Linked DNA regions of Callithrix jacchus. The main gene of each other region encodes a partner of the protein of the gene in region 4 in a complex. Links are inferred from orthologs where the notes say so. Each region holds a gene or a part of one and is shown on either strand. Other genes may lie near its edges. The genes, in order: LAMTOR2, FNIP1, LAMTOR5 and FLCN.

The links.
Region 1: FLCN (region 4) and LAMTOR2 share a complex: the UniProt entries of both Homo sapiens proteins name them as parts of the lysosomal folliculin complex. The link is inferred for Callithrix jacchus from reciprocal best matches to the Homo sapiens genes FLCN and LAMTOR2.
Region 2: FLCN (region 4) and FNIP1 share a complex: the UniProt entries of both Homo sapiens proteins name them as parts of the lysosomal folliculin complex. The link is inferred for Callithrix jacchus from reciprocal best matches to the Homo sapiens genes FLCN and FNIP1.
Region 3: FLCN (region 4) and LAMTOR5 share a complex: the UniProt entries of both Homo sapiens proteins name them as parts of the lysosomal folliculin complex. The link is inferred for Callithrix jacchus from reciprocal best matches to the Homo sapiens genes FLCN and LAMTOR5.

The regions. Positions count from the first base shown.
Region 1 is NC_133519.1:16,441,230-16,445,574, reverse strand, and holds the start of LAMTOR2 (ragulator complex protein LAMTOR2), read right to left. Parts: upstream 2,849-4,345; 5' UTR 2,788-2,848; coding exon 2,720-2,787; intron 2,415-2,719; coding exon 2,252-2,414; intron 1-2,251. Other genes in the region: UBQLN4 (ubiquilin-4), read left to right, coding at 3,665-4,076. UniProt on the Homo sapiens protein: As part of the Ragulator complex it is involved in amino acid sensing and activation of mTORC1, a signaling complex promoting cell growth in response to growth factors, energy levels, and amino acids.
Region 2 is NC_133503.1:76,995,606-76,999,168, forward strand, and holds part of FNIP1 (folliculin-interacting protein 1), read left to right. Parts: intron 1-73; coding exon 74-1,490; intron 1,491-2,326; coding exon 2,327-2,495; intron 2,496-3,563. UniProt on the Homo sapiens protein: Binding partner of the GTPase-activating protein FLCN: involved in the cellular response to amino acid availability by regulating the non-canonical mTORC1 signaling cascade controlling the MiT/TFE factors TFEB and TFE3.
Region 3 is NC_133508.1:148,257,643-148,261,691, reverse strand, and holds the start of LAMTOR5 (ragulator complex protein LAMTOR5), read left to right. Parts: upstream 1-1,226; 5' UTR 1,227-1,351; coding exon 1,352-1,548; intron 1,549-2,423; coding exon 2,424-2,485; intron 2,486-4,049. UniProt on the Homo sapiens protein: As part of the Ragulator complex it is involved in amino acid sensing and activation of mTORC1, a signaling complex promoting cell growth in response to growth factors, energy levels, and amino acids.
Region 4 is NC_133506.1:62,344,319-62,347,881, reverse strand, and holds part of FLCN (folliculin), read left to right. Parts: intron 1-1,227; coding exon 1,228-1,418; intron 1,419-3,489; coding exon 3,490-3,563. UniProt on the Homo sapiens protein: Multi-functional protein, involved in both the cellular response to amino acid availability and in the regulation of glycolysis.

The DNA.
Region 1 (4,345 bases), on a different chromosome or scaffold from region 4:
AGCCAGGCTAATTTTTATGTGTGTGTGTGTGTGTGTATATATATATAGATATATTTTAGATTGAGTTTCACTCTTGTTGCCCAAGCTAGAGTGCAATGGTGTGATCTTGGCTCACTGCAACTTCCACCTCCCAGGTTCAAGTGATTCTCCTGCCTCAGCCTCCTGAGTAGCTGGGATTACAGGCGCATGCCACTACACCTGGCTAATTTTTTGTATTTTTAGTAGAAATGGGGTTCCACCATGTTAGCCAGGCTGGTCTTGAATTCCTGACCTCAGGTGATCTGCCAGTGTCGGCCTCCCAGAGTGCTGGAATTACAGGTGTGGGCCACTGCACCCGGTCTAATTTTTGTATTTTTAGTAGAAATGGGGTTTCACCAGGTTGGACAGGCTGGTCTCAAACTCCTGACCTCATGATCTGCCTGCCTCGCCTTCCCAAAGTGTTGGGATTACAGGCGTGAGCCACAGTGCCTGGCCCCTTAAAATGTATTTCTTATGGCTTGGTTGTGGTCAAAACGTTTGAAAGCTATAGCACCAGCTCTAGGCATTCACTAAGCGTCATATGTTGAACTAAAATAGCATTGGTTGTGCAGGTGGCAGAAGAGAATAGCAGCTGGGTTACAATGAAGACCCTTCCTAGAGAGTTCACCCTCTGGCCGATATGGAAAAAAAAAAAAGTAAGTTCAACAAATTTTTACTAGGTATTCATTCTACGCGGGAAACCAAGCACTGCACTCTCTGCCTCTCTGACACCATCTCCTACCACCCTCCATTCATTTTCATGCAGCTCCAGCCATACCAACCAACTCTGTTGATCCTTGGGCAGGCACAATTCTGCCTCAAGGCCTTCGTGCTTGCTGTTCTGTCCAAAATATTCTTCCCCTAGATAGCCACATGGCTTGCCATGACCTTTCTTCAGATCTTTGATCAAATGTCACCTTTTCAGTGAGACTGTCTCTGACACATACACCCAACAAACTCATACTTTCACTTCCCTCCTTTCTTTACATTGCATTTTCTTTTCTTTTTTTTTTTTTTTTGATACGGAGTTTCGCTATTGTTACCCAGACTGGAGTGCAATGGCACGATCTCGGCTCACCGCAGCCTCCGCCTCCTGAGTTCAAGCAATTCTCCTACCTCAGCCTCCCAAGTAGCTGGGACTACAGGCGCGCGCTACCATGCCCAGCTAATTTTTGTATTTTTAGTAGACACAGGGTTTCACCTCTTTGACCAGGATGGTCTCGATCTCTTGACCTCGAGATCCACCTGCCTCAGCCTCCCAAAGTGCTGGGATTACAGGCGTGAGCCACTGCGCCCGGCCTTACATTGCATTTTCAATACCTAACATACTACATATTTTACTTATTTTAAATAATGTGGCCGGGCACAGTGGCTCATGCCTGTAATCCCAGCACTTTGGGAGGCTGAGGCAGGTGGATCACTTGAGCCAAGAGATCGAGACCAGCCCGGGCAACATGGCAAAACCCAATCTCTGCAAAAAATGCAAAAATTAGGGAGGTGTGGTAGTGGATGCTTGTACTTCCAGCTACTTAAGAGGCTGAGACAGGAAGATCACCTGAGCCCAGGGAGGTCGAGGCTGCAGTGAGCCATTATTGTATCACTGTTAAGATTTATTAGGGCTGGGGGTTTTGCCTTTCTGTTTGCTATTTTTTTCCCTAGTCCTGAGAACACTACAAGGACCTAAATACTTATTGACTAAACAGATACTAAGAGGTTCACAAGCTAACGGCAACTTCCCCTTTCTGGACTTCATTTTCCCTTGTTTGTAACCGTGAGGGGTTGGACTAGGGTCTGGAGACCACCATGGTTCTGTGAGTCGGCGAGGCTGGGATGACAACACTTCGTGTTTGCACATCGTTCTACTGTTTATACCCATTATTTCATCCGATCTTCACAACCATCCAGGAGGGGAGCGGGAAAAGGGAAATAGCTGCTTCCTCCTTAGACATGAGGTAAGGAAGCTGAGAGAGGTTAGGCGACTTACCCAAGGTTCCACAACTGATAAGTGGATGGCTGAAACCAGAACCCAAGTCAGACCTCTCAGGTCCAGGGCTCCTTCCTCACCACCATTTGATGAATAGGGTCCTGCCTATTACGAATGCTGCTGCAGACCAACTCTTAGTAATCTTCCGGAGACACTGTCCCTGCCCCTCCAACCATCCAGGATGGGGTCCGGGTCACCCCCTTGGGATCCCCTTGGGGGGCAGGGGAAGTCTGGCTTCCCTCTCCATACCATGCAGTCCATGAGGATGAATTTGAGATTGTCTTCATTAAACGCTTGGTTCCCATTCCGGTCGTAGGCGGCCCAGATGTTACTGGCTATGGCCGCAGTGACCCGAGCGTCAGTGTCCCCGTAACCCGAGTAGGCCAGCAGTGATCCCTCGTTATTCAGCAGCCTGGTGAGGGGCGGGGAAGGATAACGTTGTGCCCAGGACAGAGAGTAAAACGCCTGGGTTTCCAGCCCAAGTCCCACCACTAGCACAGCCAGCAAGGGTCTGGGCTTAGTGTGTCCTGGAACGCGCCCTAAGCACCCAGCACACCGGCTTCCCTTTTCGAGAGGGTATCTACTGGCCAGCACTCCCAGCCGCTGCCCGCTCTGCCGCCTCCTCCCTTCCCGGCGATCCTTCCCCACCCCTCCCTCAGGGAGCCGCGCGCAGCCCAACTACGGGGCTGGCCGCTCGGGTCCGTGGTCCGCACTCACAGGGTGCTCTGGACTCCTCCAGTGTTGGCTTGGCTTAGCACCTGGGTTAAAGCCTTGGGGCGCAACATGCCTACGGCTTCTAACCCTGGGCTTTTGCACCCAGATCCTCCGAGGTGCCTCCCGCGAGCCGCTGACTTCTGCTTCCCGTAGTCCCGTGGCCTGCTTCCAAACGCCCTGGGAGTTGTAGTTTCCTCGCCTGGTTATTGTAGTTCCGACTCAACTCCCCACCCCGCCGCGGGCGGCTCTGGGAATCGTAGTTCCTTGTGGCCTCGCGAGGCACCCTGGGAACTATAGTTCGCCTTTCCAGGCTGACCACGCGGTTGCGGGGGGCAAAAAGAGCGGGAGTGGAAGGACAGTGGCAGCACTGGAAGGACATTTAACTCCTTCGGGGAGAAAGGAGTCAACGTGTCCGCTTGGCAGTCCACGATTCAATAATTAGACTACATCCTTATATTTGTCAGGCATGCCTTTGGTTACTTTCAAAACAGTTTTCTCCGTTATGCACAATTTTGTGCGATGAGGCGAGGGGAACTGTTACTATTATCTTGAGAAAACCAAGGCTCAGAAAGGCCACGCAGCCAAAACCCAACTCCCTGGAACCATTCTTAATAGACCAGTTAGGCCGTGACCCTCGGAGCTATAGGGTCAGTCCCAGAGCTAAGATCCTAAGGACTTAACTTGGTGGGAAAACCCAACCTCCAGGTCGGGAAAGGCCCCTGGCCTGGAAAGGACTTTGGGCTTCCAAGAAAGACCAAGTTATTACAGGGAATGGAGATAAAGCGGCGACACAGAAAGTCCTTTGTCCCGGAGCGGAGTTAGACGCGGAGGGGGCGGGGAAGCTTTGGGCTGGAAGGGACCGCGGCACGGCTCTGGCGGGCAGCGTTGGGCCTCTGTCTCCCCGAGGAGTCCGTCCCCGCCCCCGCAGTGAAGGGCACGCCCCTCCCCATGCCCAGAGCGCCCCCCAGGGGCCCCAGCCTGGCGAGCCCCGGGCCTGGCTCCGGACCCGGGGCTCGGCCCTGGGCGGAACCCGCTGCAGTGGCCCCCCCGGTCCGCCCGGGGCGCTGTGGCTGCGGCTGGTCCGGAGGGGGCGGTGAAGCCTCGGGGAGGGGAGGAGAGAGGAGGGGAGGAAGGGGAGAGGTGGAGAGAGGGGAGTGTTGGAGGCGCTGGAGCCGAGCCGGGCTGGCCGGGCGGGCGGGGAGGAGGAGGAGCTGGACGGGCTGGCGGGCGGCCGGGTGGCGGCGGCGGCGGCATGGCGGAGCCGAGCGGGGCCGAGACGAGGCCCCCCATTCGGGTCACCGTCAAGACCCCCAAGGACAAGGAGGAAATTGTAATCTGCGATCGAGCCTCGGTCAAGGAGGTAGTACGGCTGGCGGGGGGCGGAGGGAGCGCGGAGGAGGGGTCTGTGAAGAGATGGGGGGCCCTCCCTGAGGTTCTGGCGTCCCGGAGGGCCCCGGAGAGGAGGGCGAGGGCCAGCTGGGACTCCGTGGAGCTGGAGGAAGGGAGAGGCGGGTAGGGGGCGCCCTGCGAGGGGAGATCTAGGGGAGCGTGGCGCGTGTTGAGGGGCGGGTTTTGCCGTGTGGCCTGGGCTGGGGGCGTGGTGGAGAGTGAGGAGGGGACACTTTGCAC
Region 2 (3,563 bases), on a different chromosome or scaffold from region 4:
TGATCATTAAAAACAGCCTACTTAGCTGGGTCAGTAAAGGATGTGCTTAATAACTGAGTTTTTTTTATTACAGGAGACTTGTACGGTGCTATCGGCTCTCCTGTACGGTTAGCAAGGACTGTGGTGGTTGGCAAACGACAAGATATGGTCCAGAGGCTACTTTATTTTCTTACTTATTTTATAAGATGCTCTGAACTTCAAGAAACACATCTTTTAGAAAATGGAGAAGATGAAGCCATCGTTATGCCAGGCACAGTTATTACTACCACTTTAGAGAAAGGTGAAATAGAAGAATCAGAGTATGTCCTTGTCACAATGCATAGAAACAAAAGCAGTTTGCTCTTTAAAGAGTCGGAAGTAAGAACTTCTAATTGTAACTGTAAATATTGCAGTCGTCCACTCCTTGGGCAAAATGTAGAGAACATTTCTCAACAAGAGAGAGAAGATATTCAAAACAGCTCTAAGGAGCTTTTAGGAATTTCAGATGAGTGCCGGGTGATTTCTCCTTCTGACTGCCAAGAAGAAAATGCTGTTGATGTTAAACAGTACAGAGATAAATTAAGAACTTGCCTTGACACCAAGTTAGAGACAGTTGTTTGCACAGGATCTGTTCCAGTAGACAAATGTTCATTGTCAGAGTCAGGCTTAGAGCCAACAGAGGAAACATGGCAGAGTGAGAAGTTGCTGGATTCAGATAGTCACACAAGCAAAGCAATGAGATCCACAGGAATGGTTGTGGAAAAGAAACCTCCAGATAAGATTGTGTCTGCTTCATTTTCTTGTGAGGCTGCCCACACAAAGGTTACTTTCCTGATTGGGGATTCTATGTCACCTGATTCAGATACTGAGCTTCGAAGTCAGGCAGTGGTGGATCAGATTACCAGGCATCACACCAAACCACTGAAGAAAGAAAGAGGGGCTATTGATCAGCATCAAGAAACTAAACAGACAACTAAGGACCAATCTGGAGAGTCTGATATACAGAACATGGTTTCTGAAGAGCCCTGCGAACTTCCCTGTTGGAATCATTCAGACCCAGAAAGCATGAGCTTATTTGATGAATATTTTAATGATGATTCAATTGAAACCAGGACTATTGATGATGTTCCAATTAAAACAAGTACAGATAGTAAAGACCATTGCTGTATGTTAGAGTTTTCAAAAATATTGTGTACAAAAAATAACAAACAAAACAATGAATTTTGTAAATGTATACAAGCAGTTCCCCAAGATTCATGTAAAACCTGCTTTCCTCAGCAGGACCAAAGAGATACACTCTCCATTCTTGTCCCCCATGGGGATAAAGAGAGTTCAGACAAAAAAATTGCCATAGGAACTGAATGGGACATTCCAAGAAATGAAAGTTCAGATAGTGCCCTTGGGGATAGTGAAAGTGAAGATACAGGTCATGATATGACTAGGCAAGTTAGCAGTTATTATGGAGGAGAGCAAGAAGACTGGGCAGAAGAGGATGAAATACCATTTCCTGGGTACGTAGGAAGTTTTCACCTATAATGGGCCCTATATAAATATGTACCATACTTTTGTTTAGCTGTTCTCTGAAGGTTGGTATAAAAGAAGAGATCATTGTCCTAGATAGATTTCTCTTATTTTCATATTCTCTTAACTCATAAAAAAGATTAAAGCCTGAGTTCCAGAAACACCTCAGAAAGGTTTTATGAAGACCTCAGAGAAAAGTTAAAGGATCTGGTTATGATTTCTTACTGCTTAGAAGGTTTCAAGCCATTTAGGAGTGAATTATGCCCCCCAAAAGGACATATGCTGAGCCTGGCAGAGAGCACTAATCCTTGAGATGTTAGATGGCTGTTTGAAATATGTTTGGCCAAAACTAAGAAGAAAACAGAATGTATATTTTCAGTTAAGTATGTAAAAAGATTCATGCTTGAGAAATGTTACATACCCACCTTTGGACTTGTGAAGCATTTAATTACTTTGTTTTAGATGATTGTATTAAGAATGTGTTACAAACTTAGGGGACAGCTCTCTTAAAGTCTGTTACAAAAGATTAATTCTCACTTCATTACTGAGTTGTTCCTCAGACCTTCTCATCTTGATAAGAAGTGTTTTGTTTTCTGATAGAGCACTTGAGCAAGTTTTTAAATAAGGATGATTATACTCTTGATTTTACTATTATTACCAGTTTACTCTTGAATTTTACCATTACCATTATATAAGGATGATTTTACTCTTTATATTAATACAGACTAGTATAAAATGTGGACTAGTAGAGTTCACAATTCTTTTTTTAACTGGTTAAAAAAGTTTATTATTAATTAGATGTCTTTGGGGGGTACTTTTCTTCCAGGTCAAAGTTAATTGAAGTGAGTGCTGTTCAGCCCAACATTGCCAATTTTGGGAGGTCCTTGCTGGGTGGCTACTGCTCATCTTATGTGCCTGACTTTGTTCTTCAAGGAATTGGGAGTGATGAGAGGTTCCGTCAGTGTCTGATGTCAGATTTGTCTCATGCTGTGCAGGTAAGTGACCTTCACTGGTCTTGAGTTTATTTAGAACAAACTATGTTAAGCAGCAGAACCCAAAATTGCCTTATATTTTTGGTCATACTTTTACAACACAATCCTTATTCTCTGATTTCATTACTTTATATTCAGTGTCTGTTATCTTACTGTCACTGTGAGAGCAAATAAAGTTTCAGAAATTTATCCACATGGATATCAGAAATACAGAAAGTACTTTATGTATTCATGGATGTTCATCAGCTAGGTTATTTACAGTATCAGAAATTTATAGGTGCTTAAGTTTGAATGGAATTATTTTCTTAATTTCCCTTTCAGATTGTTCATTGCTTACATATAGAAGTGGGGTTGGCTTTTGCGTATTGATCCTATATCCTGTGGCCTTTCTGAACTCATATTAGTCTATTCAGTTTTTCTGTATAGATTCCCTAAGGTTTCCTACATACAGGCTCATGTTATCAGTGAACAGATAGTTTTAAATCTTTCTTAACAATCTGGATGCTTTTGTCCCTCCTGCCCCCAACTTTTTTTTTTTTTTTTTTTTTGATTCATTGTACTGGCTAGAACTTTAAATAGAATGTTGCATGGAAATGGTGACCATGGACATCATTGCCTTATTCATGATCTTAGGAGAAGACGTTGCATCTTTCATGATTAAGTGTGATGTTAGCTGTAAGGTTCTTGTAATGCCCTTTATTAGATGGATAAACCCTATTTATTTACTTAATTATTTTTGAGATGGTGTTTCACTCTTGTTATGCAGGCTGGCGTGCAATGGCGCAATCTCAGCTCACTGCAACCTCTGCCTCCTGGGTTCAAGTGATTCTTCTGCCTCAGCCTCCCGAGTAGCTGGGATTACAGGCATGCACCATGTGCCACCACACCCGGCTAATTTTGTATTATTTTGTATTTTTAGTAGAGACAGAGTTTCTCCATGTTGGTCAGGCTGGTCTTAAACTTCCGATCTCAGATAATCCTTCTGCTTTGGCCTTCCAAAGTGCTGGGATTACAGGTGTAAGCCCCTGTGCCCAGCCCCCTTTTTATTTTTATTATTTTTTTAACCCAATG
Region 3 (4,049 bases), on a different chromosome or scaffold from region 4:
GAGTCCTTGAACCTAGAAGGTTGAGGCTGCACTAATCCATGACAGCATCGCTGCACTAAGCCATGATAACGCCACTGCACTCCAGCCTTAATCCACAATTAGGATACAGCTATAAATGGAATATTCTGCAACTATTACGAAGGACGTAAGTGAAAACTTGACATGGAAAGACATTTATTCTAAACTCTGTGAAGAAGGCCAGATACAGAATTGTACCTCCAATATATATGTCAATTTTGCTTACAAAAGAAAAAAAAAACATGGATATGGTGAGTCAGCCTGTAATCACATTTTGGGAAGCTGCAGTGGGAGGATCTTTTGAGGCAAGGAGTTTGAGACCAGCCTGGATAACACAGCAAGACCCCCATCTCTACAAAAAAATGTAAAAATTAGCCAGCCATGGTGGCTCAAGGCTGTGGCCCTAGCCAGTCAAGAGGCTAAGAGGGGAGGATAGCTTGAACTCTGGACGTCAGGGTTGCAATGAGCTATAATCATGCCAGTGCACTCTGGCCTGTGTGACAGAGCAAGATCCTGTCCCCAAAAAAGTTATTTTAAAAAGGCAAACAAAAAAACATTAAAAGTGTCCATTTGCAAAGACCACTATCTGAAAGGATACTCTCAAAGGGATTAAAAGTCATCTTTGGACAGTGGGACCATAAGTGTTTTCTATTTTTATCACTTTTATAATTAATTATTTTTGTCTTTTTGTTTTTTTCCTTTTTGTGGAGAACGGGGTCTCGCTATATTGCCCAGGCAGATCTCGAACTCCTGGGCTCAAGCTAGCCTCCCGCCTCTGCCTCCCTAAGAGTTGGGATTACAGGCGTGAGCCACAGCGCCCGGCCTATAATTAATTTTTTAAAGTAATTTTTAAGTAGTCCTACCTAGTCTTCCTTACAAGTTAGGACTCAGATGCCACTCTCTTTCCCTAAACTGACCTGAGTCCCCTCACCATAATAAGCACCAGTGTCTTCGCTAAAATCCCAACACTTTGCCAACACAGCTGGGGGTTGAACCTCGCTCCCTCTAGTCCTTTAGTCCTCTGAGTCTTTCCCCCTACAAGCCTATGGACCCGCTCCCAGAGGTCCCCTTCGTACCTGCCCCACAGGCTAGATCAGGCCCTGTCTGACCCCTGGGTTACTGTAAAACAGAACGTCTGGCCCCTAGGTCTCAGAGTCGGTTGAATCAGAGTCCAGAGGTTAAAAAACACTGACACAAAATGCCAGGCCAGGAACTGAGGCACTGAAGCTCGGCTACAGACCTCGCTCCTGAGAGGGAAATCATTCCGCTGGGGAGCCACGCGCGGGTCACCGACTGTCACCTTCGCCAGGCTCTGTGCGGCGGAAGCGCAGTGATGTTTTCCAGTAAAAAACGCGGACGTTGCGCCGTGATCAATTTTGTCCCTTTGGAGGCGCCGTTCCGGTCCACGCCCCGCTCGCGTCAAGTGACTGAGGCCTGTGGTGGAGTCGGACGCGGCGTGCCGCTGGGTTCTGGGCCGGGGTGGACGGTGGGTGGGATGGAGGCGACCTTGGAGCAGCACTTGGAAGACACGTGAGTAGTGCGCGCCTCTTCGGCCCGTCCTGAAGTCGCGGCGGAGGAACTTGAGCGGGACAAAAGGCGCGAGCTGCGAGTGCCTGCCAGGGCGTCTCGGGGACGTCGCGCTACCCCCAGGACAAGGGATGAGGGAGCTGAGCCCTACCCGAGGGCCGCAGGGCGGGACTGGTGACCCGGAATTAAAATTCTGCCGGGCACCGCACATCCCCTCTTGAGCGAGTCTCCTGGGCTCAGGCTACGGCCAAAACTGCTTATCTCGTTGTTGAAATCGTCTTTACGGTCAGGGTTGTTCTGCGGGAGGTTTAGGAAAGGGGTTAACTTTGGGGAAGGTTGTGCCAGTTGTGCACAGTCAAGCCCTGCAGTGTAAACAAACATTTATCTCCTGTGTGTATCCTGTCAGTTACTTGGTACTTACGTAGATCAAAGTCATCCTTTAAATTTTTCGAACAAGCAGTATTTATGTAAAATTCGAAACTGGAAAAGTATAAAGGGTACAGAGACACCTGGCCTCCCAACGATGTCCCTCAGCTTCCATTTACCCTCCAGGAGGCGATTTAAGAGGTTTTCAACAGTTTTAAATGAGTTAGTACTAAAGCATGCATTTTTAACAAGAGTGAAAACATCCTAGATATTGCAGTGTTTGTGGCCCTCCAAAACTCAACAGTACTTAGCAGTTTTTTCTCTCTCATGAGAGAAAAAACTGGTTTATTTAAATTAATTAATTAGAATAATTTTTTTCTTAGAGTGTGATAATGAAAAAAGATTGAGAAACATTGATTTAAAGCACTTAATGTCTGGTACATAGAGCACGTGTATGCTCAAATCCTTTTTCTCCCATTATCTGCTTCAACTCTCTGTGTTCCTGAAATTAGAATGAAGAATCCCTCCATTGTTGGAGTCCTGTGCACAGATTCACAAGGACTTAATCTGGGTTGTAAGTATCTCTCATGCCGTGTGATGAATTCCGTAGCATCTGCTGTTGACTTGGAGCCTAGCGTGGTTTTGTTTTCTAGCTTTTATGTTCTGTTACCTTGCCGGTTCTTTCTGAGTTTCTGAGAGTAGAGATTATCTCCAAATAACAGTATCAGAAAATTGAAAGTTTCAGTTGGTATTTATGAAGGAGGATGTTCCCTGCTGTTCTATAGCACTAAGTAGTTGTCTTTACTAAAAATGGTATTTGAATCATGTTAAATGAAGTCTAGAAAGGACTTGAGAGAATGACAGCTGTTAACCATTTATTGAATGTATGCCATATGCTGAGACTGCTAGGTTCTAAATACACTGCCTTTAATTTTCACAGCAACCCCGCAGAGTGGATGGTGTCCTATTTTTAAGCTCAACTACACTAAACAAGAAGTGAATAGGCAGTAAAATGGGGTTTCAGTGTTGGACATACCTGGGCTCAGTCCCTTACTTTTTGATTTGCTGGCAGTATGAACGTGGACCAAAAACTACCTTTTAGGGCTTCATTTTCTTCACTAGGTTGTTATTTAATAATGGTAATCATTAGAATTACATTTATTGAGCTTTTGTTATATACCAAGCACCATTGTAAGTCCTTTACATATACTAACTCTTTTATTCCTTAAAACAACCCTGTGAGGTAGAAAAAGAAGTGGAGGGGCCAGGCGCAGTGGCTCACATCTGTAATCCCAGCAGTTTGGGAGGCCAAGGCAGGCAGATCACTGAGCCCAGGAGTTCAAGACCAGCCTGTGCAACACAGTGAAACCACCCCCCATCTCTATTTTATATATATGTTTTTAAAATTTTTAAAGGCCAGATGCTGTGGCTCATACCTGTAATCCCAGCACTTTGGGAGGTCGGGAGGCCATGGTGGGCAGATCACTTGAGCCCAGGAGTTCAAGACCAGCCTGTGCAACACAGTGAGACCTCCCCCATCTCTATTTTATTGTTTTTTAAATTTAAAAAGGCCAGATGCCATGGCTCATACCTGTAATCCCAGCACTTTTGGGAGGTGGGGGTGGGGACAAGTGGATCACCTGAAGTCAGGAGTTCCAGGCTAGCCTGGCCAACATGGTGAAAACCCATCTCTACTAAAAATACAAAAAAAAAATTAGGCTCGTTGTGGCAGGTGCCAGTAATCCCAGCTACTCAGGAGACTGAGGCAGGAGAATCGCTTGAACCTGGGAGGCAGAGGTTGCAGTGAGCCAAGATCGTGCTGTTGTACTCCAGACTGGCAACAAGAGCAAGATTCTGTCTCAAAAAAAAAAAAAATTAAAAAGAGAAACTTAGACACGGAGGTTAAATAAGTGGGTAAGCTAGGGTTTTTGGCCCTGAGGCCTCTTACTCGTGATTTTTTTTTTTTTTACAGAGATGGAGTCTTGCTCTGTTGCCCAGGCTGGAGTGCAGTGACACAGTCTCGGCTCACTGCAACCTCCACTTCCCAGGTTCAAGCTATTCTCCTGCCTCAGCCTCCTGAGTATCTGGAATTATAGGGGCCCACCACCATGCCTGACTAATTTTTGTATTTTTAGTAG
Region 4 (3,563 bases):
TGCCAATCATGTTTCTAGGCATGTGCAGATGGCAAGGGCAGTGTCTTGGGGAACTTTCTAGCTCAAAGAGCCAGAGCTGTCGAAGCCTTTGTGAGAACTTGGAAGTGGGTGTGCGGGGTATGTGCAGTGTGGGGTTTCAGGCTCAAGGCTTGCCCTTTGGACTCAGGCCTGGCTTCGCATTCTGGCTCTGCTTCTCACGTGCACCCTTCCCTTTGGGTTTCATGATGTGAAATGGAGATGTGGTCATTTGTGAGGGCTCCATGAAGGTTCATTGAAATGACAAATACCCATTTCTTTATCTGTGAAATGGAGGTAATAGTGCTGACCTGACCTCAGCACAATTGAGAGGACTAAATGAAATGATGTTGGATGCAGCCATAAAGAAGAATGAAATTAGGCATTGGTGCACACCTGGAGTCCCAGCACTTGGGAGACTGAGACAGGTGATGGCTTGAGCTCAGGAGTTTGATACCAGCCTAAGCAACATAGCGAGGTCCAGCCTCTACAAAAAATATGAAAAGTAGTTGGGCGTGATGGTGCATGACTGGACTCCCAGCTGCTTGGAAGGCTTAGTTGGGAGGATCACTTGAGCCCAGAAGATTGAGACTGCAGTGAGCCGTGATTGTGCCACTGCATTCTAGCCTGGGCAATAGAGTGAGACCCTGTCTCAAATAAAAAGATGGGAATAGTAGACACCAGGGACTCCAGAAGGAGGGAGGGAGGGAGGGGACCAAGGGCTGAAATACTTTCTATTGGATACTGTCTGGGTATATTACTTCTTGTGGTTCACTCTTTGGGTGACAGGATCAATAGCAGCCCAAACTTCAGCACCACCCAGCGTACCTTTGTAACAAAACTACACCTGTACCCCCTCAATCTAAAATGAAAGTGGAAAAAAATAAAAACGATTTGTAGATCGTTGAGAACTGTGGCCGACTGGATGTGTTCAGAAGACACACTGTTGGCATTTTTCACTAGTTTGAGTTTTCTCACCAGCAAAGAATAGCTGATGGTCTTTCTGTAAGTGTTTCTAAGATGGACGTGTGGTGCCCTGGGCTAAGCAGACAGCAACTGAGCCCTCCCTCCCGGCACAGGGCTCCCAGAGCAACAGGGAACATGGGACCTGGCCACAGCTAGGAATCTACACTGACCAGTTCAGCCCACGAGGTGCCTTGGGCTGTAGTCACAGGTTTGTATCTGTAACTGTCCTTGTTGTCTGTCTTGCAGATTTAGAAGAGGAATCAGAAACCTGGGACAACTCTGAAGCTGAAGAGGAGGAGAAAGCCCCTGTGTTGCCAGAGGGTGCAGAAGGGCGGGAGCTGACCCAGGGCCCGGCAGAGTCCTCCTGTCTTTCAGGCTGTGGGAGCTGGCAGCCCCGGAAGCTGCCAGTCTTCAAGTCCCTCCGGCACATGAGGCAGGTAGGTGGCAGGGACAAAAAGCATCAGGAGCTCAGGAGGAGAGCAAAACCGTCCCCACCCACATGCCTTACCTCTGGGCTCTCCATCTTCAAAACCCTGTGGGAAGTGACTGACAGCCTCTCGATTGATGGCTGAGGGCACAGGGTGTCGGGAGTATTAGCCGTAAGATCAGTGCTCCCCCTTCAGTGATGACCTAAGTATCTTCAAAGAAAGGCCAAATAGTTGGCATCCCATGGTCCCTCTGATCCTCTGAGAACCTCCAGGAGGCAGTGAACAGCACTATTATTGGTTTGGGTGCAGCCAGGACCCTGCTGATTGAAAGTGAGGTCATTCTTACAAAAAAATTAGGAAGAACCTGAGTATCAAACCATTGTAGTAAATGGTAGCCAAACCGTGGAATATGATTAATTAGAAGAAATAAAGCAGGCAGCGTGTGTTTAGGGTGATATATGCACATGTGTGCCTGCCGGACATAACAGAATTGGAGGAGTAGGTGTGGGTTGCTCCATTGCAGGGGCAGGCTATGTCCTTGATAAGATTCTTCTGGCCGGGCACGGTGGCTCACACCTGTAATCCCAGCACTTTGGGAGGCCAAGGCAGGCGGGTCACCTGAGGTCAGGTGTTTGGGATCAGCCTGATCAACAGAGAGAAACCCCATCTCTACTAAAAATAGAAAATTAGCTGGATGTGTTGGTACATGTCTGTAACCCCAGCTACTTGAGAGGCTGAGTTACAGTGAGCCAGGATCATACCATTGCATTCTAGCCTGGGTGACAGGAGCAATCTCTCTCAAAAAAAAAAAAAAAATATCTTCTGTATTTATTTTTCCAATGAGTACTGATTCATCAGAAGGGTGTTATTTGTTTTGGAAAATGGAGTAAGACTGATTTCATGGCAGATGCCCTTGGGGCTTCTGGATGAAAACACTCAATCCATTAAAATCCTACATTCGGCTGAAACCTTCCTTGTCAATTTCTTGCGTAGATGAAGGTTGGAAGGTGTGTGGAATTCCTCTGGAGGTGCGACTGCTTTGAGGCTCTGAGGATTTGGTGAAATGTGGTATTGTGGCCTCTCTCTTAGGTTTTGTTTCAAAGCCGTGTTTGGCTTCTTAGAAGCAGTGAGACAACAGGCTGGACTCTCCTAAGGTGTCAGTGTCGTGGAAGCTAATAAAAGGTGGGGTCTGGAGAGAGGCTGTTCTAGGTTAAAGAATAAGGACATGATAACTAAAGGCAGTCACGGTGCTATAGTAGCTCCTGGATCAAAAGAACAGCAGCTGCCAAGCAGGCAAGGGCCCTGGGCTTGTGCACATGGCTGGATGTCAGGTGTGTCCATCGTGGTCTCACCATGATGGGCTCCAGTCATGGAGCCATCATGTCTCAGCTGTGGTGACATCCTTGTTCTGGGTGCCGCCGGTAGAGGGCCCTACAGCCTGCTTTCAAATGCTTCGGCAAAAAGTGTCTGTAAAGGCTGGGCGCGGTGGCTCAAGCCTGTAATCCCAGCACTTTGGGAGGCTGAGGCGGGTGGATCACGAGGTCAAGAGATCGAGACCATCCTGGTCAACATGGTGAAACCCCGTTTCTACTAAAAATACAAAAATTAGCTGGGCATGGTGGTGCGTGCCTGTAATCCCAGCTACTCAGGAGGCTGAGACAGGAGAATTGCTTGAACCCAGAAGTGGGAGGTTGTGGTGAGCCGAGATCGTGCCATTGCACTCCAGTCTGGGTAACGAGTGAAACTCCATCTCAAAAAAAAAAAAGTGTCTGTAAAGAGAAGGTGAATAAATATTGCAGGAAGTTAACATCTTTTTGCTTCAAGTTTTTAAAAACAAAATTGGGAGGAAGATCTTGGAGCAAGAGCTTTGGAATCTGGCTTTTAAGTGCAAACCTGGAACTTCTGTCTCTCCCCATTTAACCCTGGGCTGGGCACCGCCTCCCTGAGAAGATAAGTGACTTTCTCCTGAACCTGTCTTTGTTCTATAACATTTTATGAACACAAATCAATAACTTCATGGGAAGGGAGAGGAAAACCATTTCTCCTAGTCATGCTGAAAGCACTGCATTCTCTTGTTTAGGTCCTGGGCGCCCCGTCTTTCCGCATGCTGGCCTGGCACGTTCTCATGGGGAACCAGGTGATCTGGAAAAGCAG